4 linked regions of the Anolis sagrei genome follow. The main gene of each other region encodes a partner of the protein of the gene in region 3 in a complex. Links are inferred from orthologs where the notes say so. Each region holds a gene or a part of one and is shown on either strand. Other genes may lie near its edges. The genes, in order: DPM2, PIGY, PIGC and PIGQ.

What was found.
Region 1: PIGC (region 3) and DPM2 share a complex: the UniProt entries of both Homo sapiens proteins name them as parts of the glycosylphosphatidylinositol-N-acetylglucosaminyltransferase (GPI-GnT) complex. The link is inferred for Anolis sagrei from reciprocal best matches to the Homo sapiens genes PIGC and DPM2.
Region 2: PIGC (region 3) and PIGY share a complex: the UniProt entries of both Homo sapiens proteins name them as parts of the glycosylphosphatidylinositol-N-acetylglucosaminyltransferase (GPI-GnT) complex. The link is inferred for Anolis sagrei from reciprocal best matches to the Homo sapiens genes PIGC and PIGY.
Region 4: PIGC (region 3) and PIGQ share a complex: the UniProt entries of both Homo sapiens proteins name them as parts of the glycosylphosphatidylinositol-N-acetylglucosaminyltransferase (GPI-GnT) complex. The link is inferred for Anolis sagrei from reciprocal best matches to the Homo sapiens genes PIGC and PIGQ.

What each region holds. Positions count from the first base shown.
Region 1 is NC_090031.1:2,448,819-2,456,384, forward strand, and holds the start of DPM2 (dolichol phosphate-mannose biosynthesis regulatory protein), read right to left. Parts: upstream 3,018-7,566; 5' UTR 3,000-3,017; coding exon 2,982-2,999; intron 376-2,981; coding exon 286-375; intron 1-285. UniProt on the Homo sapiens protein: Regulates the biosynthesis of dolichol phosphate-mannose. Regulatory subunit of the dolichol-phosphate mannose (DPM) synthase complex; essential for the ER localization and stable expression of DPM1.
Region 2 is NC_090025.1:20,335,921-20,342,010, forward strand, and holds PIGY (phosphatidylinositol N-acetylglucosaminyltransferase subunit Y), read right to left. Parts: upstream 1,377-6,090; coding exon 1,161-1,376; 3' UTR 520-1,160; downstream 1-519. Other genes in the region: PYURF (protein preY, mitochondrial), read right to left, coding at 1,417-1,558, 3,159-3,349. UniProt on the Homo sapiens protein: Part of the glycosylphosphatidylinositol-N-acetylglucosaminyltransferase (GPI-GnT) complex that catalyzes the transfer of N-acetylglucosamine from UDP-N-acetylglucosamine to phosphatidylinositol and participates in the first step of GPI biosynthesis.
Region 3 is NC_090024.1:131,146,033-131,153,624, forward strand, and holds the start of PIGC (phosphatidylinositol N-acetylglucosaminyltransferase subunit C), read left to right. Parts: upstream 1-4,587; 5' UTR 4,588-4,673; intron 4,674-5,828; exon of another isoform or gene 5,829-6,203; intron 6,204-6,368; 5' UTR 6,369-6,470; intron 6,471-6,933; 5' UTR 6,934-7,050; coding exon 7,051-7,592. Other genes in the region: dimethylaniline monooxygenase [N-oxide-forming] 2-like, read left to right, coding at 92-461. UniProt on the Homo sapiens protein: Part of the glycosylphosphatidylinositol-N-acetylglucosaminyltransferase (GPI-GnT) complex that catalyzes the transfer of N-acetylglucosamine from UDP-N-acetylglucosamine to phosphatidylinositol and participates in the first step of GPI biosynthesis.
Region 4 is NC_090034.1:27,568,132-27,576,120, reverse strand, and holds the start of PIGQ (phosphatidylinositol N-acetylglucosaminyltransferase subunit Q), read right to left. Parts: upstream 3,004-7,989; 5' UTR 2,928-3,003; intron 2,922-2,927; exon of another isoform or gene 2,843-2,921; intron 1-2,842. Other genes in the region: NHLRC4 (NHL-repeat-containing protein 4), read right to left, coding at 6,951-7,400. UniProt on the Homo sapiens protein: Part of the glycosylphosphatidylinositol-N-acetylglucosaminyltransferase (GPI-GnT) complex that catalyzes the transfer of N-acetylglucosamine from UDP-N-acetylglucosamine to phosphatidylinositol and participates in the first step of GPI biosynthesis.

The sequences.
Region 1 (7,566 bases), on a different chromosome or scaffold from region 3:
TCCTGCCGGCACAGGGGTTTAACCCACTGTGCCACCGGGGGCTCCTATATATAATATGAGAATTGAAGACGTCCTGAATATATATGACATAATATATATAAAATATATTAATATATATAATTATATATTATATTAATATTAATATTACTATTATTATTATTATTATTATTATTATTATGAGAATTGGAGGGGTTCTGAATATTCACATGGGAGGGATCAATGTATTCTGCCTTTATTTATTCCTTTAATATGGGATCAAAATAAAAAAAGCAAGCCAGTCCATACCAGTACGATGATCCAGACGGTATAATAAGCGAAGAGGAGAAGGCTGAAGGCAACCAAGCCATAGCCAACCAACTGGTCAGTTGCAGTGGCCTGAAAGGGAAAAAGGAGAATCAATGCTGACCCCTTGTCTATCTGTCTGTCTATCTGTCTATCTGTCTATCTATCTATCTATCTATCTATCCATCCATCCATCCATGTGTGTCTATCTATCTATCTATCTATCTATCTATCTGTCTGTCTATCTGTATATCTATCTATCCATGTGTGTGTATACAATGTATGTATGTATGCCGGTTTCTACCACCAAGGCTTCTCCGTGGTTTGGTGGATTTGGACCAATTTTGGCACTTTGTCCCTTCATGGTCCAGCTATAAAGGAAGAAAAGGGCCAAAGCGGATTTGCTGTGCCTCAGTGAAGGACCGGCTGTTGCTAGGTGAAGTGTCCTGCCTGCTACAAGGAGACATGTATATGAAGGGAAGAATGAAGGGAAAGAAAGGAGATGAGAAGGAAGGAAGGAGCCCTGTGAACCATTGCGGAGATTAAGATCCTCCGGGGAGGCCCTGCTTTCCATCCCGCCATTGTCACAGGCGCGATTGGTGGGGACGAGAGACAAGGCCTTCTTGGTGATGGCTCCCCGGCTATGGAACTCCCTTCCTGGTGAGACCAGGTCAGCCCCCTCCCTCCTGTCCTTTAGAAGGATGGTCAAAACTTGGCTGTGGGACCAAGCTTTCGGGACAGGGCAATAAAGTGGCAATAGGAAAGATGACCGGGCCAATTAGATTTGACGCTGATGACTAGGACAGTTTTAAATGGTGTATTTTAATATTTTGATCATTTTTTTTTTATATTTATGTTTTGTATGTGAATCTGTGTTTGCCGTGTATATGTTGTGCTCCACCCTAAGTCCGCTTCGGGGTGAGAAGGGTGGAATATCAATGTTTTAAGTAAATAAATACATTTTATAATGTGCTCATTTTAGTCAAGCTGTCAATACAAATCATCTTGTTTAGTGTGGCCATGTCTTACAGCAGTTGTCACCACAGATCATCGGGCGTTGTGTTCTGAGTTTTAAAATGTTGTTTTATATATGCTATAGTTTTGCTCTCGTGTCTTGTCCTCTGTGTCTATTTTATGCGTGGTTTTAGGCACTTTGCATCATATGAAAGACGCCCCAAGTCCCTTCGGGGAGATGGAGGCTGGGTACAGAAATAAAGTGACTGTCTTTATTACACACATACTTATATATATATATATATATATATATATATATATATAAAATGGCAGCGAATGGGGAAGCCTCTTAATATGCATGGAATATGTTCTCTCTTCCAAAACATCCTATTTCTGTTTCAATTTTATTTTAGTGCCTGTATTTCTTCATTTTGAATCACAGGGAATGTAATTAAAAAAAAGATATTTTTGAATTAATGTTTTGAAACATGTTATTGTGTGTGTGTATAATTTTAGTCTCTATATATAATCTATTATTTTATTCTATGAACACATATATATCATAACATTTATGTATTTAATATTAGTCTCTCTATATATAATCAAAATTCTATATATACATATTTATTACTTTATTCTACACACATACATACATCATAATATATATGCATATCATTTTAGTCTATATCTATATAATCTATATTCTATACATACATATACATTATATTCTACAAACACATATATAATATATATGCATATCATTTTAGTGTATATATAATCTATATTCTTTATATATATATTATTCTATACATACATATATATATATCAATAATATATCTCGACTAAAATTATATACATATATATATATTATTGATATATGTGTCTGTAGAATAAAATAACATATATGTATATAAAGAATATAGATTATATATACCCTGACATTACATGCATATATATTATTTTATTCTATACACACATATAATATATATGCATATCATTTAATGTATATCTATATCTATATCTACGTATATATTTTATTCTATACATACATATATATCAATAATATATATAGACTAAAATTATATACATACATATATATATATATATATTATTGATATATGTGTCTGTAGAATAAAATAACATATACGTATATAAAGAATATAGATTATATATACCCTAAAATGACATGCATATATATATTATTTTATTCTATACACATATAATATATATGTGTATAATTTTAATGTATATATATATTCTTTATATACATATATATTTTATTCCATACATACATATATATATATATCAATAATATATACAGACTAAAATTATATACATATATATATCATTGATATATGTCTGTAGAATAAAATAATATATACGTATATAAAGAATTTAGATTATATATACACTAAAATTATATGCATATATATTTTATTCTATACACACATATAATAATATATATGCATATAATTGTAATGTATATCTATCTATCTATCTATATATAGATATCCCTTATATGTATATCTTTTATTCTATACAGACATATATATCAATAATATGTATAGACTAAAATTATGTACATATATATATATTATATAAAATAATATATACGTATTTAAAGAATATAGATTATATATGCACTAAAATTATATGCATATATATATATTATTTTATTCTATACACACATATAATAATATATACATATTGGTTATCTTTTGGAAATCTAAATGTATAATCCTAACCAAAGCAACCTCTCCCATTGGCTTTTATTCCCAGACTCACCATTGTGAAGTTCTATTTCCTGCTTGGGAAGACTTCCTTCCGGTGCCATAGAGGCGGAAGGAGAAAGAGCGGTCGCAGAGCCATAGAGGTGGGTGCTTTAACCGCCGCGCATGCGCACAGCAGCGGCTAAGAATGGGTTTCTAGCCTCTCCGTGGCAGGCCTCCCGCGCATGCGCACAGCAGACTTCCGTCTCCTTCGGAGGCTTCCGCGCACGCGCACAGAGTCCAGGCTCGGGTCATAGACTCCTTAAAAGAGGAGATGCGCGCCTTGTGACCCTAGACTCATGAAAGAGAAGAGTCATTCGCAGGCCTGCAAAGCTGAGGCTCATTTGGAAACCGTGTATGGATGGGCTTGAGAGGGAACTGTCCTTCCAAATCCTGGAAGGAGACTCGGTTTGCTCCATTATGTACCTTTCATGTTGCAGACTGTGGCTGGAAGCCATGCAAGGTTGGACTGACTCATGTCATAGAATCCTAGAGTTGGAAGAGCCCTCCTGGGCAATCATCCAGTCCACCCCCATTCTGCCAAGAAGCAGGAATATCGCATTCAAAGCACCCCTGACAGATGGCCATCCAGCCTCATCGAATCCTTGAGTTGGAAGAGACCTCCTGGGCCATCCTCCAGTCCAACCCCATTCTGCCAAGAAGCAGGAATTGCATTCAAATCACCCCTGACAGATGGCCATCCAGCCTCTGTTTCAAAGCTTCCAAAGAAGGAGCCTCCACCACACTCCCTCCGGGGCAGAGAGTTCCACTGCTGAACGGCTCTCACAGTCAGGAAGTTCTTCCTCATGTTCAGATGGAATCTCCTCTCTTGTAGTTTGAAGCCATTGTTCCATTGCGTCCTAGTCTCCAAGGAAGCAGAAAGGAAGCTTGCTCCCTCCTCCTCCCTGTGGCTTCCTCTCACATATTTATTATACATGGCCCTCATCATATCTCCTCTCATCCTTCTCTTCTTCAGGCTAAACATGCCCAGCTCCTTAAGCCGCTCCTCATAGGGCTTGTTCTCCAGACCCTTGATTTGCTCCCTCCTCCCTGTGGCTTCCTCTCACCTATTTATACATGGCCCTCATCATATCTCCTCTCATCCTTCTCTTCTTCAGGCTAAACATGCCCAGCTCCTTAAGCCGCTCCTCATAGGGCTTGTTCTCCAGACCCTTGATTTGCTCCCTCCTCCCTGTGGCTTCCTCTCACCTATTTATACATGGCCCTCATCATATCTCCTCTCATCCTTCTCTTCTTCAGGCTAAACATGCCCAGCTCCTTAAGCCGCTCCTCATAGGGCTTGTTCTCCAGACCCTTGATTTGCTCCCTCCTCCCTGTGGCTTCCTCTCACCTATTTATACATGGCCCTCATCATATCTCCTCTCATCCTTCTCTTCTTCAGGCTAAACATGCCCAGCTCCTTAAGCCGCTCCTCATAGGGCTTGTTCTCCAGACCCTTGATTTGCTCCCTCCTCCCTGTGGCTTCCTCTCACCTATTTATACATGGCCCTCATCATATCCCCTCAGCCTTCTCTTCTTCAGGCTAAACATGCCCAGCTCCTTAAGCCGCTCCTCATAGGACTTGTTCTCCAGACCCTTGATTTGCTCCCTCCTCCCTGTGGCTTCCTCTCACCTATTTATACATGGCCCTCATCATATCTCCTCTCAGCCTTCTCTTCTTCAGGCTAAACATGCCCAGCTCCTTAAGCCGCTCCTCATAGGGCTTGTTCTCCAGACCCTTGATTTGCTCCCTCCTCCCTGTGGCTTCCTCTCACCTATTTATACATGGCCCTCATCATATCCCCTCAGCCTTCTCTTCTTCAGGCTAAACATGCCCAGCTCCTTAAGCCGCTCCTCATAGGACTTGTTCTCCAGACCCTTGATTTGCTCCCTCCTCCCTGTGGCTTCCTCTCACCTATTTATACATGGCCTTCATCATATCTCCTCTCAGCCTTCTCTTCTTCAGGCTAAACATGCCCAGCTCCTTAAGCTGCTCCTCATAGGGCTTGTTCTCCAGACCCTTGATCATTTGAGTCGCCCTCCTCTGGACACATTCCAGCTTGTCAATATCTCTCTTGAATTGAATTGAAATGTCATGGGTGAAATAACTTGGGAGCACATGGTTCTTTTTTCCTTTTGCATTTAGCACCCAGAAAATGCAAGAAAAAAAAGGCAGAAGGTTATTTGATGGCAGGCCCGTTAACAACTCCTCGTTTGCAATTCCTAGAGAACTTCCCATCTTGTTTATTTATTTTATTTTAACCTTGTTTTTCATCCCTAACTTTCCCTAGTAAAGTCCAAGAGTTTCTCTGTCTGTTCCACAACAGCTGTCACTGGGTGAAGTGGCCCTTCACGATGTCACTGGGTTGGGTGGCCCTCCACAGTGTCACTGGGTGAAGTGGCCCTCCACCGTGTCACTGGATTGGCTGTCACTGGATGAAGTGGTCCCCCATGACGTTACTGGGTTGGCTGTCACTGGGTGAAGTGGCCCTTCACGATGTCACTGGGTTGGGTGGCCCTCCACAGTGTCACTGGATTGGCTGTCGCTGGATGAAGTGGCCTCCCATGACGACAGCTAGTTAGCTGTCGCTGGGTGAACTGGCCCTCAGTAGCGATGCTGGGTGAGGTTGCCCTCAGTGATGTTTGTGGGTTGGCTGTCACATGTGAGGTGGCCCTCTGCGATATTGCTGGGTTGGCTGTCACTGGGTGAAGTGGCCTGAAGGAAGCGTGAAATGTCTTATTCTTCTACTTTGTATGTGTCCTCTCTGAATTGCAGATGTTAGGGAGGGAAAGGAAAGAAGGAAGGAAGGGAAGGCAAGAAAAGCAAGAGAGGGAGGAAGAAAGAAAAAAAGAAAGAGTGAAATGGAGGAAAGAAGGAAAGAGAAAAATGGAAAAAGTGAGGAGGAAGAAAAAAGAAGGAAAGGAAAGCATATGAAGATGGAAAGAAAGAAAAAGAGAGGAAAGAAGGGATAAAGGAAGAGAGGGAGGAGAGAAAGAACAAGGAAAGAAAAGAAGGAAAGGTGCATGACGGAAGCAAGAGGCGGAAGGAAGGAAAGAAGGGAGGGAAAGGAAAGAAGAAAGGGAGGGAAGGCAAGGAAAGGAGGAGAGGGAGGAAGAAAGAAAAAGAAAGAGTGAAATGGGGTAAAGAAGGAGAGAGAAAGATGGAAAAAGGAAAAAGTGAGGAGGAAGAAAAAAGAAGGAAAGGAAAGCATATGAAGACGGAAGGAAAGAAGGGCTAAAAAAAGAGAGGGAGGAAAGAAAAAGAAGGGAAGAATAGGAGGAAAGGTGCATGAGGGAAAGCAAGGGAAGGAAGGAAGGAAGGAAAGGAAGACAAAGGGAGAAACGGAGTAAGGATGGGAGGGAGGGAAAGTAATGAAGGAATGAAAGGCAAGGAAAGAAAGAGAGGAAGGAAGAAAGAAAAAAAAGGAAGTGTGAAATGAAGGAAGGAAAGAAAGGTGGAAAAAGGAAAACATGAGGAGGAAGAAAAAAGAGTGAAATGGGGAAAGAAGGAAAAAGAAAGATAGAAAAAGGAAAAAGCGAGGAAGAAAAAAGAACGAAAGGAAAGCATATGGGGATGGAAGGAAAGAAGGGCTAAAAAAAGAGGGGGAGGAAAGAAAATGAAGGAAAGAAAAGGAGGAAAGGTGCATGAGGGAAAGCAAGAGAAGGAAGGAAGAAAGGAAGGAAGGAAGGAAGGAAAGGAAGACAAAGAGAGAAACAGAGGGAAGAAGGAAAGTAAGAGAGATGGAAAAGGGAGAAAATAGGCAGGCATTGGTCCCATTGCGTACACATGAAACGAAACGGTAAGGAAACAAACCAGGCCAGGTGTGATGTACCAAAAAGAAAAAGAAAAACCACCTTTATTTGTTTTTCTCCCCCGCAAAAAACGGTAATGACATTTGACATTATATAGTGAATTTCCTCTTTATATGTGTGGCTTCTCTACAATAAGGAAGGAACCGGAGAACAGAGTACAAACACGGATCATCGGTCGAGTCAAAGACGGCACAGCATTCCGTTAAAACAGGAACGGGCCTATTCCGGCCTCCTGGTGTTTTGGACTACAACTCCCATAATTCCCAGCAGCCGGTCACAGCCTCAGGCCTCTTCTTTTTCCCCCTCAGCCGCTTAAGCGGCTGAGGGGGAAAAAGAAGAGGCCTGAGGCTGTAACCGGCTGCTAGGAATTATGGGAGTTGTAGTCCCAAACACCGGGAGGGCCAGAATTGGCCCGCGTCTGCATTAGAAAAACAGAAACACCAGAGGAACCTCACAAACCATTCGAAGGAAAAATAACAATAATCAAAAACTGAGCAGCCGAACTAAATGCGACCTCTAGACTTCCTTTTAACCGCAAAGGGCTTTTTATTTTTATTCATTTTGTAAAGATTTGTAATTAATCTGCTTTTTTATCAAGGCCCCTCCCCTCCCCCAAAAATATTAGAAAGTGTTAAAACTATCTCTTGTTTGCATAGTCCCGTATTTATTTATTTCTCCCTTTTCCAAAAATAATCGTCATCACCTCCGCGCTCGAATCTCTCGCTTATAGAAGTATCTGAATATAATA
Region 2 (6,090 bases), on a different chromosome or scaffold from region 3:
ATGAGCACCTCTCCCTAGAGTCAGACACAATTAGACTTAATGTCAGGGGAAACCTTTACCTTACTAGTAACATGGTCTAGTACTTTGATCATTGGACTAGCACTGAAGAAAAGAGTTTGATTCCCTGGGCCGCCATGGAAACTCACAGGGTGACCTTGTCATTTTCTTAGCCTCATAGGAAGTTTAATACAAAGAGGGTCTGTGATCAAAATCTGTCAAAAAATCCCTTAAGAACTGCCATAAACTGGAGGGAGGCACTCATCAGCAGAACAAATGTGTATTGCCATTTTTAAAAACAACCTCTGGGCTGACTCTAATGCTGGATATTATTTAGTGGAACTACAAGGGCAAAACCCATTCTCGCTGCAACCCTCACCCCTATAAATCCAGTTCTGAATGCCTGGAAAACCCCTCTGGAGCCAGATTAGTATGGCACAAAAATTGTAGGTAAGGGGATTATCCCCTTTAAGGTGAAAATCCAAATAAAGCATTGAGCAAAAAAATAATAACATATCTACCTGGTTTTTCAGTTGCTTTATTAGTGGGAAATAATTGCTTTCGGTTTCCTTATAATTCTGTTTTGATCACAATCTGTTAATATCACTCATTCAAGCATAAAAGCTATGGGTAGAAAACAGTGCAATTTAATGAAAGCAAAATCCTGAGTACTATTATCACCATGTCCAACAATGTTAAAAGACATCCTGGAAACACAATAGCGCCATGACAGAAAATCCATTTAGGGTGTCATCAAGTATTATTCTGCACTAAATGCCATTCTTCCAAGGAACTGTGAAAACGGCTTGAAAGCATCTGGCAACACTTTAAAATTCTACCATGGTATATTTCTGCACAGGGTTGACTATACAGGTCCAAAGATGGAAATGTAGTCACTTTCTTGTGGGCAAAGCAGATAGCTCGTGAAATTACAGTGTGTTTCATCCACCTTATCTGTATGATCCATCATCATTCCTATGGATTTGGTTTGGAACTAGGTTTGCTAGAGTTGGAAGGGTAAAAGCAAGTTTTCTATTCGCTTGTGTGGATGATTATTTCAATATGTTTAGTCCACTACTTGTTTGGGAAGACTTCTGATCCTATTGCAGACAGATAAAAAGAAAGCACATATTTTAGTCCATGTCCACCCATTTCAGCCTAACCTAGTTGTGGCGAAAGAGTTTAAGGCCCATCCAGGTCCAGAGGTGGAAGAACACATAAACTGGGATGGTAACTGGAAGCAGCAGGCTGTAGAAACACAGGCTGGTTGTACTTGTGCAACCCTGAGGGAAGTTTTCATCAACGCTGGCCGAATAAAACAGTCCAGCTAAAGACAACACCGGGATGAGTACAGTCATCGTAGGCAGAGACAGAAACATTTTTCTTCACCTGTGGATTTCTTATAAGAAGAAAAAACGTCTAGGTCCGCTCAGGTTCCCCTTCCTGCTTGTCTTTGCCAATCATCCTGGCAGCCTGGGGGATCATATTAGGAATGCCGTCAGTGATGGGGTAGGCAATGCCCAGCTCTTCGTTGATTAATTCATTGGTGGACTCCTCATACCTAGGAAACATAACAAATATTGATATGTCAAGCCAGCTATTGCCATTTCTTTAAGAATATGGTACTGGGACAAAGAAGTATGCAAACCAGTCTTTCAGTAAGATGTAATATGCTAGTGGCAATAATAATAATAATAATAATAATAATAATAATAATAATAATAATGTGTCAGGCATCCTTATAACACCCCACTAGGTACAGTTAGACCAGGCACGGGCAAACTTTAGACCTCCAGGTGCTTTGGACTTCAACTGCCACAATTCCTAACAGCCGGCAGGGTTTGTAGTTTCACTAGATCTTTCACTTTCTCTGTCCAAGAATGCAGGTGTCTCATTAAACTACAACTCCCAGTATTTGCATAACATTGAGCCCCCGGTGGCGCAGTGGGTTAATGAAATATAACATAATACTACTAATATGATATTATAATTATATATTTTATATTACATGTAATATTACTAATAATACAATTTAATAATAATAATAATAATAATAATAATAATAATAAAAGCTTTATTTATACCCCACCACCATCTCCCCAAGGGACTCAGAGCGGCTTACATGAGGCCAAGCCCAACAGGACACCAGTAAACAAAAGGTATGGTATAAGTACACTTATACCATACCGTATTGTACTTAATGGTATAAGTACAATATAGTAATATACAATACTGATATTGTACTATGCTAATAATATATATTGTATGTATGTGTGCGTGTGTGTGCGTGTATCTTGTAAGCTGCTCTGAGTCCCTTTCAGGGTGAGGACGGCATATAAATGTCATAAATAAATAAATAAATAAATAAAATCAAACTCCAAAATCCAAACAGTAAATAAAGAACAATAATAAACAACACTAAAAAAATTGGGGAATTCCAGACAGAAACCATCAGGGTCAACTAATCACCTCCCAACAAAGAATCCCCCCCAGGCAGGAAGCATCCTGACCTTGAAGCTGCAAGGCCATTCAATGCTAATCAAGGTGACCAATTGCAACATTCACACTTTCCTCAAGCAGACCAGAGTTCTTTTTCCACCCTTGGACATTATTCCACAGATAAACCCCACTTACCTAGTTTCCCACAAAGGATTCCCCCGCTCCCAGGCAGGAAGCAGCCAGACCTTGAAGCTGCAAGGCCAATCAGTGCTAATCAAGGTGGCCAAATTGCAACATTCACACTTTCCTCAAGCAGAGAAGAGTTCTTTTTCCGCCCTTGGACATTATTCCACAGATATATAAACCCCACTTGCCTAGTTTCCAACAAAGCTCACCGCTATAGATGTAGGCGAAATGTCAGGAGAGAATGCTTCTGGAACATGGCCATACAGCCCAGAAGCTTCACAGCAACCCAATGAAATGCCATTTTAAAAAGATACAAAAAAAAACTTGCAAGATCCACCTGCACTGTAGACTTTAATGCAGTTTGATACCTCTAACTGTCAATGGGATTCTGGGAGGAGTAGTTCCACAAGGTCTGCAGCCTTCTGTGCTAAAGAGGGCAGGCGCCCAACCAAACTACAAACAAGCAGGATTCCATAGCATTGAACCATTGAAACTACACCGATACAGCCTCTAATGGGAGCCCATTGGCTTCTCACCTGAGCGGCTTCTTGGACAAGGGGCAGACGAGGACCTGGAGGAGGCTGGCCTCGAAGGGCGGCTTCTGCTTCTCTCCCTCGGGGCCTTCGCCTCCGTTCCCGGCCGCCGTGGAGAAGAGAGCCCGAGAGCCTTTCCTCCAGAGCGGAACGCAAGCGGAGAGGCGCAGGAAACCCAGAGGCAGCATCGGCATGATTCCACGGTTGCACGCCTTCACTGCCAGCGCCAGCTCCAAGGTCAGCTGGGAAAGGAAGTCAGCTTCACCAGACTGCTTCCTCCGAATGAGTGTGCTGTCGAAAGCAGTCCCTTGGAAAGCGAGAGCCAATGTTCTAGGTTCCTACAAAGAACTAAAGATTGGGTTTAGTTGGGCTGGCTGGCCATGTTCCATCTCTGAGGTTGTGAAATCTGTTGGGAAACTAGGCCAGTGAGGTTCATATATCCGTGGAATAATGTCCAGGGTGGGAGAAAGAACTCTGGCCTGCTTGAGGCAATTGGCCAGCTTGATTAGCATTGAATGGCCTTGCAGCTGCAAGGTCTGGCTGCTTCCTGCCTGGGAGGGAATCCTTTGCTGGGAGGTGATTAGCTGGCCCTGATTGTTTCTTGTCTGCAATTCCCACGTTTTTGAGGGTTCCTTATTTATTCTTTTGATTTTAGAGTTTGATTTTATAATAGTAATAATAATATGTAGCTTCAAGGTCTGGCTGATTCCTGTCTGGGGGGAAATCCTTTGCTGGGAGGGGATTAGCTGGCCCTGATTGTTTCTTGTCTGGAATTCCCCCGTTTTTGAGGGTTGTTCCTTATTTATTGTTTTGATTTTAGAGTCTGATTTTATAATAATAATAATAATAATAATAATAATAATAATAATATCCAGGGTGGGAGAAAGAACTCTAGTCTGATGGAGGGAAGTATCAATGTTGCAATTGGCCAGCTTGATTAGCATTGAATGGCCTTGCAGCTGCAAGGTCTGGTAGCTTCCTGCCTGGGGGAAAATCTTTTGCTGGGAGGTGGTTAGCTGGCCCTGGTTGTTTCTTGTCTGGAATTCCCTCGTTTTTGAGGGTTATTCCTTATTTATTGTTTTGATTTTAGAGTTTGTTTTTATAATAATAATAATAATATCCAGGGTGGGAGAAAAAACTCTGGTCTGCTTGAGGGAAGGGTCAATGTTGCAATTGGCCAGCTTGATTAGCATTGAATGGCCTTGCAGCTTCAAGGTCTGGCTGCTTCCTGCCTTGGGGGGAATCCTTTGCTGGGAGGTGATTAGTTGGCCCTGATTGTTTATTGTCTGGAATTCCCCCGTTTTTGAGGGTTGTTCCTTATTTATTTATTTATTTATTTATTTTAGAGTTTGATTTTATAATAATAATAATATCCAGGGTGGGAGAAAGAACTCTAGTCTGATAGAGGGAAGTATCAATGTTGCAATTGGCCAGCTTGATTAGCATTGAATGGCCTTGCAGCTGCAAGGTCTGGCAGCTTCCTCCCTGGGGGGAAATCCTTTGCTGAGAGGTGATTAGTTGGCCCTGATTGTTTCTTGTCTGGAATTCCCCCGTTTTTGAGGGTTGTTCCTTATTTATTGTTTTGATTTTAGAGTTTGAATTTATAATAATAATAATAATAATATCCAGGGTGGGAGAAAGAACTCTGGTCTGCTTGAGGCAAGTGTCAATGTTGCAATTGGCTAGCTTGATTAGCATTGAATGGCCTTGCAGCTTCAAGGTCTGGCTGCTTCCTGCCTGGGGAGGGAGTCCTTTGCTGGGGGGTGATTAGCTGGCCTTGATTGTTTCTTGTCTGGAATTCCCCCGTTTTTGAGTGTGTTGCTTATTTATTCTTTTGATTTTAGAGTTTGATTTTATAATAATATATTTTTGTTGTGTCAGGAGCAACTTATTTATTTATTTATTTAGCAATTTTGTATACCAGACTTCTCCCCTCTGTCGAGGGACTCGGGCCGGTTTCCAACAATAAAATCACAAAACAATAATTAAAAACGTCATATATCATATTCAATTAAAACGTTAGAACTGCAATTCGCTTCTGGTGTGAGAGAATTGGCCGTCTGCAAGAACGTTGCCCAGGGGATGCCTGGATGTTTTGATTTTTTTTAATCATCCTTGTGGGAGGCTTCTCTCATGTCCCTGCACGAGGATCTGGAGCTGATAGAGGGAGCTCATCCACGTCTCCCCGGATTTGAACCTCCGACCTGTCGGTCTTCAGTCCTACCGGCACAGAGGTTTAACCCACTGCGCCACCGGGGGCTCCTAATAATAATAATAATAATCATCATCATCATCATCTTTATTTATACCCCACCACCATCTCCCCAATGGGGACTCGGAGCGGCTTACATGAGGCCAAGCCCAGACAATAATTACATAAAATAAAACCAAAAACGCAAACAATAAACAACAACAACGTAATTACTTAAAACAAATGAAAACATGGCAATATAAAATTACAATAGGCACAATCACAATGACAATGGGCGGGCTACATGTAATGGATAAAAGAAAGGCTGATTAAAAACTGATTAAAAACTCAGGCGAGATAAGAAAGAAACAGATTATTTGCGGAGGAGGGCTCATAATAATGGAGGTCGTGGAATCAAGCTTTCCCACAAGGGGATTTTAGGAGATAATGCATCTAGAACATGGAGATAATGCATCTAGAACATGGCCACATAGTCTGTAAAACCTACAACAACCCAGTGATTCTGGCCACGAAAGCCTTCGACAATATGATTTCAGAGTTTTTTTAACACTGGTAGCCAGATTTTGTTCAATACTCAAAAACATTTTTAAACTATGTATTTTAAAATGGCTGTTTATTGCTATAAATTGTTTTAATGGGTTGAGGCAAGTGTGAATGTTGCAGATGGCCACCTTGATTAGCATTGAATAGCCTTGCAGCTTCAAAGCGGGGAATCCTTTGTTG
Region 3 (7,592 bases):
TCCTGTGGAGGTCTGTGCTGAGCTTTATGACTAGAATATGATTGGGATTGCTTGAAAGCTTGATGGTGTTTCTATTTCTCTTCTACTACAGGGGATTTCCCATGGAAAAGGACAGTGCAAAGGCAAGCTTTGTTGCCTACATGGATGAAATTGCTGCTTGTATAGGGGTTAAGCCTAACTTGCTGTTGCTCTTCCTATTGGACCCCCAACTAGCCTTTAAAATTCTTTGTGGACCTTGCACTTCTTATCAATTCCGTCTGACTGGACCTGGGAAATGGGAACAAGCCAGAAGCACAATCCTGACAGAGTGGGACCGAGTTCTGAAGCCCTTGAAGACGACAGTCAACAATAGTTCCAAAGACTCCACAACTTTTTTCTGGTTTATGTTCCTTGGCTTTTCATTCCTTGGGGCTTCTTTGGTCATTTTAAAAACTCATCACATTCATGACTACCTAGGATGAGAGAGGTGCACTTTTCATATTACATGGATCTCTTGGTTTCATTGTACTGATTAGGTATATATCCAATACAATAAAACAAAAAGGAAATCAGACATTAAAAATATTTTAAACAAGAGGCATACAATCCTGCATAGCAGTCAAGCGTTCAGACTGAACAAAAATGTGACTTTCTTTCAAGTAAGTTGTGAAACAAGACTGGGAAACATACCATGATTTAAATTTTGCCCAATTATTACTAACCCCTTCAAAAAACACAAAATATACAACAGCAATTATATCCTTAAATAAAAGAGAATAAAATGTATCAAATATAGTCTTAAAATTGTTTTGTATTTTTGAAAAAATTGAGCACAGCAAACTTATAAAGTACAACATGTCCCTCTATTTCACATGGAAATTCTGTAAAGCAGTGGTGTCCACACTTTTTAAACTGAGGGCCAGTTCACAGTCTGATGGGGGGTGGGCAGACTATCTATATATATATAAATGTTCTGTGCATAATGAGTACCTTAAAAACAATGAACGAAATCACACCAAATTTGGCAACAAAATGTCACACAACACAAGGAGTGACCATCATTCAAAAAAATATGATTTTGTCGTTTGGGAGTTGTAGTTGCTGGGATTTATAGTTCACCTACAATCAAAGAGCATTCTGAACTCCATCAACAATGGAATTGAACCAAACTTGGCACACCGAACTCCCATGACCAACAGAAAATACTGGAAGGGTTTGGTGGGCATTGAACTTGAGTTTGGGAGTTGTAGTTCACCTACATCCAGAGAGCACTGTTGACTCACACAATGATGAATCTGGATTGAACTTGGCACAGATATTCAATATGCCCAAATATGAACACAGATGGAGTTTGGGGGGAATAGACCATGACATTTAGGAGTTGTAGTTGCTGGGATTTATAGTTCACCTACAATCAAAGAGCATTCTGAACCTCACGAACGAGAGAATTGGGGCAAACATCCCACACTGAACCCCCATGACCAACAGAAAATACTTCAGGCCACCCAGTCAAACTCCCTTTACCAGGGGAAGAAAAAGTAATCAAAGCCCTCCTGACAAAGAGCCATCCAGCCATAGATATATATGATTCACACACAGAGAGATATAGTATCAGATTTGAAAGGGACCCCTAAAGAAGGACAATTATATGTTGCCTATTCCAAAGTAGGCAAACCAGACCATCTCCACATCAGCACTGACAAAGAAACAATATATACTGCTTACCCACACGCACAAATACATTACATATATTAGAAATCAACACCTTCTCATTATTTTCCAAATCACCAGACTGGGCCACAGCAACGCGTGGCAGGGGACGGCTAGTCTATATTTAAAAAATGTAATGTTTGTTTGTGGGATTAACATAACTCAAAAACCACTGGACGAATTGACACCAAATTTGGACACAATACACCTATCAGCCCAACAAGTGATTATGACTCATAAAAACACTGAAAAACACAGGGAAGAGACTTAAAAAGCCCAAAAATTAAAAAAAAAACCCATTACAACGCATGCACAAAACCACACACACACAAACACACACACACACACACACAAATATATACACACACATATATGAGTATATGTGCTGGTACAACTGTACCAGGAGCTCCAATTTTGTTTGCTTTGTACTGAATGTCTGTTGCAGTCCTAAGTTTCAGAGACTCTGCAGATAGGTGGCTTCTTTTGGCTGCAATCATAGGGCAAGCCACCTGTCAATTATAGTTAGGTTCCCTGGTCCCGCCCCCTTTTTGGGTTTTTGGAGGGAATAGGAGCCTTTTTGGGTCAGTACACACAGAGAAGCTTTCCATACAGGACATAAAACCAAGAACTCCTGTAGAAAGCTTCGTCTTCTACAGCTTGGCCAAGGAGAAAAGGCCCCATAGCTTGGCTGAGGATTTTGCAGCCTTACAGCTCTTTTGCTGAAGGACTTCAGCCAGCCATCACTGAAACCTGAACTCCTTCTTTTCCCCTGGAAGTCTACAAAGCTCTGCTTGGTAAGGGTCGCTCGCGGAAGCCAGACGCAGTTGGTACCGGGTGTAGGGGCTCCACACCAACAGAGGCAAAGACAGACTGCCCAGATTAGAAGTTAAGGATTTCCCCATTAGTTAGTATACAGTTATGAAGATAGTGCCTGTTCCCAGTGAACAAGATTGCAAGAGCCAATAGACTGTTAAGAAAGCTTTAAAATATTATTAAACTTTATTTGTACCCCGCTAACATCTCCCGAAGGACTCGATGCGGCTTACAAAGGCCAAGGCCTCAACACACAATACAACAATGCAAAACCTAAGCAAATTAAAAACAATTAAAGCAAACTAAACAACAGCAATGAACAATCCACTAAGACACAATAAAACTGGGCCGGGCCAGAGTAAGGGTACAAGGGTTAAAAGTGCTGATGTGACAGGTGGAATATGAGGCTTATGGGCAAGTGCAGTGTGCGGTGTGCAACGGTTTTAACTTTAATAAAGTGCTTATGGGACTTGGAGGTTTCCTATTCGGGGAAGGCACATCGGAACAGCCAGGTCTTCAAGTTCTTTCTGAAGACTGCCAATGTAGGGGCCTGTCTAAGATCTTTCGGGAGGGTGTTCCAGAGTCGGGGGGCCACCACGGAAAAGGCCCTGTTTCGTGTCCCTACCAAACACGCTTGCGACGCAGGTGGAATCATGAGCAGGGCCTCTCCAGATGAACGAAGAGAGCGTGTGGGTTCGTAGACGGAGATGCGATCACGCAGGTAGGCTGGTCCCAAACCGTTCAGGGCTTTGTAGGTAAGCACCTGCACCTTAAACTGGGCTCGGTAGATAAATGGCAGCCAGTGGAGCTCCTTGAACAGCCTGTTTGTTTTCATTAATAAAGATTGCTCACCGGAGCGACATACAGGGAGCATACCACCCCCCTGCTGTGCCAGCTCCACTGGCTGCTGATTCAGTTCCGAGCACAATTCAAGGTGCTGGTTTTGACCTACAAAACCCTATACGGTTCTGGTCCAGTGTATCTGTCCGAACGTATCTCCCTCTACGTCCCACCCCGGAGTCTGAGATCATCTGGGGAGGCCCTGCTCTCGACCCCACCACTGTCACAAGTGAGGCTGGTGGGGACGAAAAGCAGGGCCTTCTCAGTGGTGGCCCCTCACCTGTGGAACTCACTCCCGGGGGAAATTAGGGCATCATCATCCCTCCTCGCCTTCAGGAGGAGGGTGAAGACTTGGTTATGGGACCAGGCCTTTGGGCACTCTGGCAATTAAATCAGACAATCAGGCGAGTAAGACCAGCAGGATTGTTGAAGTGGAATGTAAAACTAGATCTATGAGTTAACGAACGCTGACCATGTAAGAGGAGAAATTGGGTTTGTATTTGGTTTTATTGATTTTATTGATTTTATGGTTATAGTGCATAAATTGTTGTCAACTGTGAATTGATGTAATTTTGTGTATGGTTGTTTTATGATGCAGGCATCGAATTGTGCCTTTGCTTTTGTAAGCCGCCCTGAGTCCCCTTCGGGGTGAGAAGGGCGGGGTAAAAGAACCCCAAATAAATAAACTTTGTTGAACTTTTAAGCAATCTAAAGACTTTGTTTTAAGGAAATCCAAGGACCTTTAATCTGAGGCAGCCCCGGCGTCCCATTGGGCACACAGAATTTATGTCCTGTCTACAGTCTGATGCACAGGCCCAGCGTGCGACAGCACAGTATATGCACACACAAAACACATATATAAAGACTGGGCCACAGCAATGTGTGCCAGGAGACGGCTAGTATAATATATAAACATTTCTTGGGGCTCCATGAGAAACCTTTCCTTTAAAAGGGGATGAAGAAGTTTGAGAAACTCTGAACTAGAGCATGGATCCACTTTAAATGCTATGGCCGCCTCCTTCCTGCAGAATTCTGGGGTTTGTAGTTTAGTGAGGCCCAGCACCTGCCTGGCTGAGCGGCTTAAAGGCCCCTCCCTAAACTACAAGCCCCAGAATTCAGCGGGACGGAGGCAGACACAGGATTTAAAGAGACAGATGCTCTGTGGATGAGGTCCAATGTACGTGAAGGGAAAAGGGACCCAACCTGAGGCGTCTCTTACTTGGAACGGCAGTGGGCGCAAGTCACCAACGAGGAAGAAGGGGAGGAAAAGGGACGGCCCAGATCCCCGCCTTCCTCTCTTCTGTGGGCCGCCTCTGTCAGTTGAGAGGAAGGTAAGGCCAGGGCCCTTCCAGCCCTTCCAGCAGTGGGATTATTAACAGGAAGCTCTGGAGGGGGAAAGGGGATGTGTCGCCCCCTCAGCCCTTGACTGACGTAGAGACGGGGCTCGTGCCGGGAGGACGTAGGGCGCGATGCGTGAGAGGAGGAGGTGCGCGCGCAGAAGGCTCGCGCGCGCACTAGGCCCTCTGAGACAGTGCCTCACAAAAGCGCGGGAATGAGGGGAGGGGGCTTCTTAATGTGAAGAGGAAGCGGGCCTGCAGCCTGATCGCCCTTAGCGAGGGCCTCATGATCAGAGTTATATTTTGAATGAATGTATTTTGACACATTTGCTTTTTGCTGTGCAATTATGGGAGTTGTAGGAGTACTAAATAATAATAATAATAATAATAATAATAATAATAATAATAACGCTATGAAATACGACTCGCTGGAACACCTCAGCAAGCGAGAGTCCAAAAGTGGCAGGCTCAAACCCAGAACCTCAACCAATGGCTAATACCAAATGAGAGACTTCCCCCTGGGCACACAGAGGACTGGGCGACTTGGAAGGCGCTGAACAGACTGCGCTCTGGCAACACAAGATGCAGAGCCAACCTTCAGAAATGGGGCTACAAAGTGGAATCCTCGATATGCGTATGTGGAGAGGAGCAAACCACTAACTACCTGCTGCAATGCAACCTGAGCCCAGCCACATGCACAATGGAGGACCTTCTTGCAGCAACACCGGAAGCACTCCAAGTGGCCAGATTCTGGTCAAAGGACATTTAATCAACTACCAAACTCACAAATGTTGTACTTTGTCTGTTTGTTTGTTTGCTTTGTTCTGTTAGAAATGTAATATAATTAACTGGTTGCCCTGACATGACAAATAAATAAATAAATGTTACTGGGTTACAATCAAGTGCCAGTTAATACCCCCCAAACAAAAGATGCCTCCAGGCTAACAACAGCCAGGCTGCCTCTCACTGATTGACTTTGCAGCTGCTCAGTGCTAATTAACCTTGTTATTTATTTATTTATTTCGTATCAAAAGCATTGCATAAATTAGTATAGAACCAATAAAAATAGAAGGAGCGCAGACAGCTAAATATCTTTTGACCAAAAACGGGCAACAGGAATGGCATTGTCTGTAGCCTCCAACAATTCTTCCTCTGTAAATGAGGCAGGGCATTGTGGGCAAGCACACAGGTGCGGAGTTGTCTGTTCTGCTCCACAGTCACACAAGGTGTGGGATTCTTTTAGGTAGTGCCATTTTGCCATGTTGTCTTTTGATCTGCCCACTCCACTTCTGAGTCTGTTTAGGGGCTTCCAAGTTGCCCATTCTTGGAGGAAAACAATGCCTCCACAGCTCAGTGAGGCTGTCCATAAGAATACTATGGTCAATGCTATCAAAAGCCAGTAGAATCCACAGGAACACATTATGGCTAGGTCTCTCTGTAGGTCATCTACAAAAGTGGCCAAACCAGGCCTGAAACAAGATGAAATGGATCCAGCAGCTAATCATGGTGCTCAGGAAGGAAAATGTAAGAACAAGATAGAAAATGTGAAAACAATTGTGTTCTCTTGCTTGCACACTTCCTTGCTGTTCTTTGAAGAGAGTTGTAAGCGCCAAGGGAAAAAGCCTTCATGGGCTTCCGTGGAAAAGTTCCCTTATCTCATATTCTTTTACATCTTCTGCTTTTTTGCAGGGTAGCAAAAAGGGAATTAATTCCTGCTCACAATTGGATTGCCTTGCCTCATCAGTAGACTCTTTTTTTTTTTCAGCAGTGACAAGGCCTTCAGTTCTGGAGGTAAGTAATAATAATAATAATAATAAATAAATAAATAAATTAATTAATTAATAAACATTATTTATACCCTGCCACCATCTCCCCAAGGGGACTCGGAGTGGCTTACATGAGGCCAAGCCCAACAATACAGCAATGCAAATAAACAACATACAACGACAATAAAATATAAAAAATAAAAATATAAAATGCAAAAAAACCTAATATAAATAAGCACATCAAGCAATGTAAAATCACAATAATTTAAACACAGAAAATAAAAAAGGAAATAAGTACACCTCCTTTGATTTGACCAATCAATCTGGTATCACCCAGGGTACTGACTTTTCCATTTTCTGAACCATGTTTTCCATTAGCTAATTGAATTTTTCATTTTTATTGGTAGTGATGATATGTGAATAAGGGGACTGCCTACTTGTATCTGGATTTTGGAAAACTTGGTTTAATTATGTTGTCTTGCTTTTAGATTTCAGCTAAAAATCTGGAAAATCATCAAGAAATATCGATACAGGTTTCATCTTCTGTGACATAATACGGTATTCCAGTGCAAGTGGATCTTGAAGGCAGTAATTTAGCCAGATGCATGCTGCGACTCCAGATGGCACAGAACAGAAGACAATGCTGGCAGAAAGTGTTATACAAGAGGCAGCCATTTCCTGATAACTATGTGGACCGAAGCTTTCTAGAGAAGCTACGCAAAAATGTCCATGCACGTAAATACCAGTACTGGGCAGTGGTATTTGAATCTGGACTGGTGATCCAGCAGCTGTGCAGTGTGTGTGTCTTTGTTGTCATCTGGTGGTACATGGATGTGGGACTGCTAGCTCCCCAGTGGTTGTTTGGAGCTGGATTGATCTCTTCACTAATCGGCTATGTCCTCTTTGATGCCGTTGAATCAGGAATAGGAAAAAGTCAGAGTGACCAGTCACAGTGGGCTGATCTGAAGAATGCTGTGGTATTTGTGGCTTTCACCTATGGCTTCTCTCCAGTACTGAAGACTTTAACAGAGTCCATCAGCACAGATACAATTTACGCTATGTCTGCCCTTATGCTGCTAGGACACTTGATCTTTTATGACTATGGAGCCAATGCTGCGATTGTGTCCAGTACACTATCTCTCAATAT
Region 4 (7,989 bases), on a different chromosome or scaffold from region 3:
CAGTAAATCTCTTTTAACATTACCATGAAGAAACAAGAAAAGAAGTGGAAACCTAGTCACATTTACTCATTACATGTCATTGCCTCTGGTTTTTTCCTGTCAAAAGTAGGACAAGCCACGCCACAAAGCTTTCTAAAGGAGGATTTTTCATTGTGCCCTTCTCACACAATTACGAAATGTTCTCCCCAGGGCCACCTATCTGGCCCCAAAATGACCATCCTTTTCAACACTGGATTAAACTATTTTTCAATTTGCACTGATGGGATGCGACTGGACAATTTTTAGCCAATTAACTATGCCTAAAATTTGTTCCTGAGGGAAGGGATACTGACCAGATACAGAGGAAAGGCTTTTCTAGCTTGCTTTATAGCAGAAAAGTTTTTAAAAACCCTCTGAACATCTAGTTATAGGAAACACATGCAAAGCAATCATTTAGTTACTGGAAAAATTGCGGTGCCTTGTTTCTCAAAGCAGAACCCAAGACAAATCCAAATGGCATGTCTGCCTGGAAAGAACCAAGTTCCAACATTCCCTCAGCTACAAAGCACACCAACATAAATGTTCATGTCTACAGCCCACATAATCAGTGCATACAAGCATATGTCCTTACAAAAATAACCAGTCTTTAATGTGCACAAATCTTTGTTGTTTTTGAAACACAGTCTCATGGAAAAGTAGTAAAAGCAGGTTTCTGCATTTTTTTGTTCAAGTGGGCACCTCCATATACAGGCAGTCCACAAGTTACAGACAACACAGGTTCTGTAGGTTTGTTCTTACGTTGAATTTGTATGTAAGTTTGAACAAGGACATTTTTAAAGTATAATTCCAGATAAATATATAGATAGCATAGGGAAGGGTTAACACTCCTATGGTGTTTCCTTTGCTGTCTGTGCCACTGCTCAGAAGATTTCACCTCATTTTCCATCCCTGGGAAAACTGGATTGTGAAGAATTTGGCTGGTTGTGGAAAAAAGGACCGGAGAAAATTAGAGACCAGACCCCCTTTCCCCCTGATAACAACTCTTCCAGGAGAGGATTTCCTTTCCTTTTGAAGGGGAAGATTTTTTTCATTTCCTGTGGTTTTGCCCCATTCTTATGCAGGAGCCATTTGTAATCGGGTGTTTGTAACTTGGGAACAGCCTATATCTATATATCTGAGATAAATATTTGGAAGGGACCCCCAGAGGCCATCCAGTCCAGCCCTGTTCTTAACTAGGAGCCGTTTGTAAATCGGGTACTTGTAGCTCGGGAACTGCCTGGAATTGAATCCATAAAAGTTAAAAAGCAGTAACGTGGAGGGCAAGAATCCTTGGCTCAATGCTCATCCTTAGGGACCATTGCTAATCACGGATGTGTCACAATGACCTAGCCTCTGTGGGAGAGACCTTTAGAATGAATAAATGGAGCGTGTGCGTGCGTCACAGCCAGGACATGTTTCTCCGCGATCCTGATCCCTTGCAGAATGCGATGCGTGAGTCATGTGGCTGCGGAATGGAAAGAGCCAGCCGCATACTCTGACATCTAAATTGCACTGCATTCCCCTCTCCGTGGATGAGGAGGAAGACAGGGCAGTCTGACCTGAATGATGGTCAGACTGGATGGCCTTTGGAGAGCTGAAGTTGGCCCAGGCCTGTTTTATACTCTATTTGTAAAGCTGTCAGGTAGTTTCTTAGGACCCTTCTACACTGTCATATAAAACCTAGATGATCTGCTTTGAACTGGATTATATGGCAGTGTAGAAGGGGGCTGAAGGCCCTTCCACACATCTGAATAAAATCCCCCATTTTCTGCTTTGAACTGGAATATATGGTAGTGTGGACTCAGATAACCTAGTACAAAGCAGACATTGTGGGATTTGCTGCCTTAATATTGAGTTATATGGTTGTGTGGAAGGGCACTCAGATAACCCAGTATAAAGCAGAGAATGTGGATGATCTGCCTTGATATTCTGGGTTATATAGTAGTGTGGAAGGGCCCTGAGTCTGCACTGCCAGATAATCTGGGATAAACAGAAAACCTGGGATCGGATCCTGGGATATAGGGCCTAACTGGAAGGGCCCTGAGGCCCCTTCCACACAGCTGTATAAAATCCCACATTATCTGCTTTGAACTGGGATATTTGGCAGTGTGGACCCGGACAATCCAGTCCAAAGCAGTTATTGTGGATGATCTGCCTGGATATTCTGGGTTCTATGGCAGTGTGGAAGTGTCTTGGGTTGAAAATGCCGGGACCTCAACTGACATACAGCCCTTCTACACTGCTATATGATCCAGATTAGCAGAGCAAATAATCCACGTGATCAGTTTTGAACTGGATTATTATCTGTAGTCACTTCCACACAGCTGCATAAAGTCCACACTGAAATGGACTCAGGGCCCTTCCACACCACCATATAAACTAGAATATCAAGATAGATAATTCCATAATATCTGCTTTGAACTATGTTCTCTGAGTCCACACTGCCATATAACCCAGTTCAAAGCAGATATTGGGCCCTTCCACACAGCTCTATATTCCAGAATATCAAGGCAGAAAATCCCACATTAGTTGAGTGTGGACTCAAATAGCGCAGTTCAAAGCAGATATTGTGGGGTTTTCTGTCTTGATATTCTGGGATATAGGGCTGTGTGGAGGGGCCCACTGTGGGATTTTATACCGCTGTGTGGAAGGGGCCTCAGATAACCCAGTTCAAAGCAGATATTGTGGTTTTCTGCCTTGATATTCCGGGTTACACAGCAGTGTGGAAGGGCCCTGAGTCTACCGGCTGTTAGGAATTGTGGGAGTTGTAGTCCCCAACACCTGGAGGGAGGACCCAAGTTGGCCCATGCCTGGTCTAAGGTACCTTAAAGCAGATCATGTGGATGATCTGCCTGGATATTCCGGGTCATACGGCAGTGTGGAAGGGGCCGGTTCAAAGCATGACTTACTTTCACCAGGAGGCAGCAAAGGCCGCGCGCCGCTTGACATTGGAGCCACTTCCGGCGGCGAGGGGGGCGGTTGCTAGGAGACGCGGTCCGGCTCGGATTATCATCCGGGCGGCTCCCTCGCTCCCAAAGGAAAGGTTCCGGCCAATGGAGTTCCTCCTCAACCTGGCCCACAGAAAGGCGCCCAGTGGTTGGAGGGAAGGAGGGAAGTCAGGTAGGAGAGCCCTGCTATTAGGAAAGCAGCGCCTTGGGTTGCATCCACCATAATGCCAAGTTTTTAACGATGTTTGAGGAGTTTTGGGGTTTTTTCCCCTATACATTATAGCTGTATTCTCAATTTGTTTCTGACATGATAAATAAATAGATAAATATCCCGAAGGAGACTCAAAGCGGCTTGACATAAAAGCATTAGCATTCAATTTATTATTATTATTATTATTATTATTATATTTATTTATACCCCGCTTTATCTCTCCCAAAGGAGACTCAAAATGGCTTGACATAAAAGCATTAGCATTCAATTTAATAATATTATGTAATATTATTATTATTATATTTATTTATACCCCACTTTATCTCTCCCAAAAGAGACTCAAAATGGCTTGACATAAAAGCATTAGCATTCAATTTAGTAATATTATGTATTATTATTATTATGTATTATTATTATTATTATATTTATACCCCGCTTTATCTCTCCCAAAGGAGACTCAAAGCTGCTTGACATAAAAGCATCAGCATAGACATTAAAATATTATTATTATTGTATGATATTTATTTATACTCTGCTTTATCTCTTCCCAAAGGAGACTTAAAATTAAATCATTAGCATATGATTTTAATTACACAAATATATGCAAACATTAAAGCAGGATTTAACTGTGAAAGAATTCACAGTTAAAAAGCATTAAAATATGTGCAATGTTAAAAACCACAATCTCTCTCTGTCATTTAATAGCAAAATTCAAGCAATTTCAACTAGAACTAAATAGATAGATAGTAGAGTATCAAGAGATTCTTTCTTCTTTTCTTGCATACTAACCTGACGAAGCCTAAATATTCCAGAACAGCAAATGTAAGAGAGCAATCCTTCAAATAGCAGAGAAATGGTCTGCTGTTTTTGACAGTTACAAGAGTATTCTTCCAGCAAAACTAGGGAGGGATATATGCAAAATTCAGATCTTTTTACAGCAGACATAGGTGGGACACACATTTCCCTTCCAATATAATGCCTGCTTTTGTGTGATAAGCCTCTGGCGGTACGAAGCAATCTTCACCTTTGCTTTCGCACAGTTTTGCTGGACATTGATAGTGCTGTAGATGGCAACCATGCCTTCCTTCCTTCTAATCTTATTTGTAACCATATAGCTCCGTACAATGCAGTTAAACAAAGTTATGAAACTGCATTCTATAGTAAGTAAGTAAGTAAAACTTTATTTCTTTCCCGCCCTATCTCCCCATGGGGACTCAGGGCAGTTCACAACATAAAAGACAAACGTTCAATGCCGTAAAATACAACAATAGGCGAAAACAATTTAAAATAAACGAAACGTCGCATTCGACAATAAAATAGATCACATGAAAACAATAATAGTAAATTACAGGATGTTAATAAGACAAAGTTAAAAGCCATGTCTAAATTCCATTCCCTATTTCATAGTGCCAGATCTTTTAACATTCGCATCACCATATGCCTGAGTGGCACTGTTCTGATCTCCTTCAGGAGGGAGTTCCAGAGGCGAGGGGCATGCCAAAGAAATGAACCATATTACATATATAAACTTCTACATTCTAACCCCCCCCCCCCCGAAGACTTATGATTTAGAATTACAGCTTGTGCATCCCTTCTTTGGAAATCCAAAATTGTTCAGATAGACAGCTGAGATGGTGGCAACCTTGCTTTCTAATGGACCAACCTTTTGTTTACTGCACAAAGTTAGTAAAAAATATTGTGTATAAAATCATCTCAGGCTATGTGTATAACGTGAATATGAAACATATATGAAGCCCATCTCCAAGGTATCTTGTTATGCGTGCATTTAATAATGATAATAATAATTATTATTTTATTTTTTACCCGCCCCTTCTCAAGGCTCGAGGTGGGTTACAGAATAATTAAAACACATAAACATTGCAAAAACACTACAGATGCACATATTAAAACGTATTCCTATAAAAGCTACATATCAAAAAGTATTTCTATAAAATAGATATCAAAATTCACAAAATAGAGATTAACAAAGCACACACATTTAAAAATCATGCTTAAAGACTGACTGTTGTATGCAGATACAAGTATTCCAAAATCTGGAGAGAGAAAAATAATCCAAGATCCAAAAAATGTTTGGTCCCAAGCTTTTTGGATAAGGGATACGCAGTTAAGACAAACATGCCTGATGAGATGGAGAAACACACAAATCATCGTTTTCTACAACAAAGAGCAAAACATAACACAAACTGTTGTAAAATAAGGAAACGTTCAGGAGCCGGCCTTCTTTGCTCCATATATTTGGACTCAAGCAGGCTAAATGGTTTATCCAGTGCTGTTTCTGGCCTGAGGACTCTCCCTTTTTTTTGGTGTCATTTTGAATGTTTCTTTCCATGCCGTTACTGTATCCTGTTGCGTCTTTTCTGTTTACTTAAAAGGAATCATGGCACAAAAAAATTAACGTGCTGTTGTAAGATCAGTTTCATCTCCAGAGCAGTTTGATGCATAATTGGAGAAGTGCACATACCAGCTGCATCTACACTATACAATTAATGCAGTTTAACACCACTTTAATGACCATAGACTTCATTCCACTGAACATGTCAAGTGTTTGGAAGAGTAGGTTTACCATACGGCTCAGGCATACTCTGTTTTGAAATTAAATGGATGATTTCCCTACCTCCATCACACACTAGCAAACTCTCCATTTTAATCAGGAGTTCTCAGTGGATTTGCCATCACATTGCAGGGTATTGTTCCTGTCCACTGTCCCGCTCCCATTTTCTTTGTGAAAAGAAATACCTCCTCTCCTGGGCTATATTTTTGGTTCATGGGTTATCAATGTCATTTCCTAATTGGTTATATCATGAACACATGGGAAAAGTTTATTAAATTGCAAAATTTTTGTCTTTGCAGGAGGGACAGCATCCTGCTTTGGCACATTTTGCTCTAGTTTCTCAATGATCCTTCTCTCTCTCTTTCTCTCTCTCAGTTTCTTTCAGTTTCTTTCACTCTCTCTCTCACTCACTCTCACACACACACTTTCCTCATATTGGAAGAAGGAAAAAAGCAGGGCAAGAAGGAGAGGAAGAGGAGGTAACACATGGCACACACAATACATAGAAGAAAAGAAGGAAGGAAGGAAGGAAGGAAGGAAGGAAGGGGAGGAGGAGGTAACACATGGCACACACAACACATGGAAGGAAGGAAGGCAAGCAAGCAAGCAGGCAAGCCACCAGAAAGTGCAAGAGACAGAAAGGAACACAGCAAACTGCCAATCTTTCCTCCTCCGTGAGCAAAAGGTAATCGTAGAGTTTTTTCTCAAAAGAGCATTTCGGCTCATCCCACAAATTGCTCAACTGTATCATTTTAAATCACATGACAGAATTGGCCATTTTGCCCACCTCTAGCTGGATAATTTGCAAAAAAGTCATTTGCCAAACAGCTTAGAAAGCGTCTGAAAAGATAACCCTTTGCAACCCCTTTTAAACACTAAGATCTCTCTACCCTACACTTGCTAGAGCCTACATCATGTGATGAGCCCAGTAGGTTGCCTTTTCTTAAGTGGGTGGCTCTGTAGCATTTAATGAATTTGATGAAGTGGCAGGTCTCAATGCTATAAGATTCTGGGGTCTGTAGTTTGGTGAGGCACCAACATTCTTTGGCAGAGAAGGCTAAAGATCTTGTGAGACCTTATAAACCACAACTCCTGTGATTCCATAATTAAAGTGTCAAACTGCATTGATTATGCAGTGTAGATGTACCTATTCAGCTCGTGAGGCAGAGTCATAAATGTAATGTGGGAGCATGGAAAAATCCTACTTTGCCCTCCTTCTAGGAGTTACATTCGGACTGTCACTGGGTGTAACGTCAGCACTGTAATAGGGCCGTACGCGGTATTTGAAGACTTTGATGGAATTATCCCCACTGTCAGCAACAAAAAGCAAACCCTGTGTGGAACAAGCAATTCCTGCTGGTCTCTGTAGACCTTTTGATACCAGGCAGATTGGGGATCCGCTACTGGGAAACAAGTACACTTTCTGGTGTTGTTCATCCGCCACAAGAATGTTGCCTTCACTATCGGAACAGATCCCAGCGGGGTTGCCAAAGTGGTGGTGATACTTGCTGCTGATGGAAGAGAGCGGTTTGTTAGTGTTACTGAACACCTTGACGTCCCCGCACTCTTCGCTCACCGCAAATCCTCCTTCGGGGGCCGGGCACACGTAACGTGGCCCTTGAAGGTTGGAGATGGAGCGGACACCCTGCATCTTGAAAGCGCGGTCTAAGGCGAAACAGTGCACTTGGCCTTCTGTGTAGTCGGCCACCAGTATCTTTCCGGACCCATCAACTCCAATCCCCCTGGGGGCAGAAAACTTTCCAATGCTTAGCCATTCGCCCTTGGAGAACTTAGAGTGATTGTTGAAGATGCGGATGGTTCCGTTCACCATGTCTGTCACGGCCACCAACCCTGCCCTGGTGAGGGTCACATCCTCAGGCAAAAAGGTGCCCTTCTTTTTCCATTCTATACAGGGCAGGGACCGAAATGTGTGGCCCAGGCGGTTGAGGGTGTGGACCCTGGGGGCATTTTCACTCGTCACATAGAGAACCCCATCAAGGGAGCAGTGAATTCCACATACGGCTCCGTAATGGTTGCCATTGGGGTTTGGCATCCGCTGAACCAACTCATCCTGCCGGAAATGGAGATGATTCCTGATATTGTCCAGGTCGTGGCAGATAACCTTGGCTTTCTCTGCCAGCTGATGAACTTGGTCCTCGGTCACCATACCCAGGCCAGGGTGGTTGCTCAGGAGAGGGCTGGCTTTTTGAAAAGTGGCATCCGATTTAACTTGGAGGCTA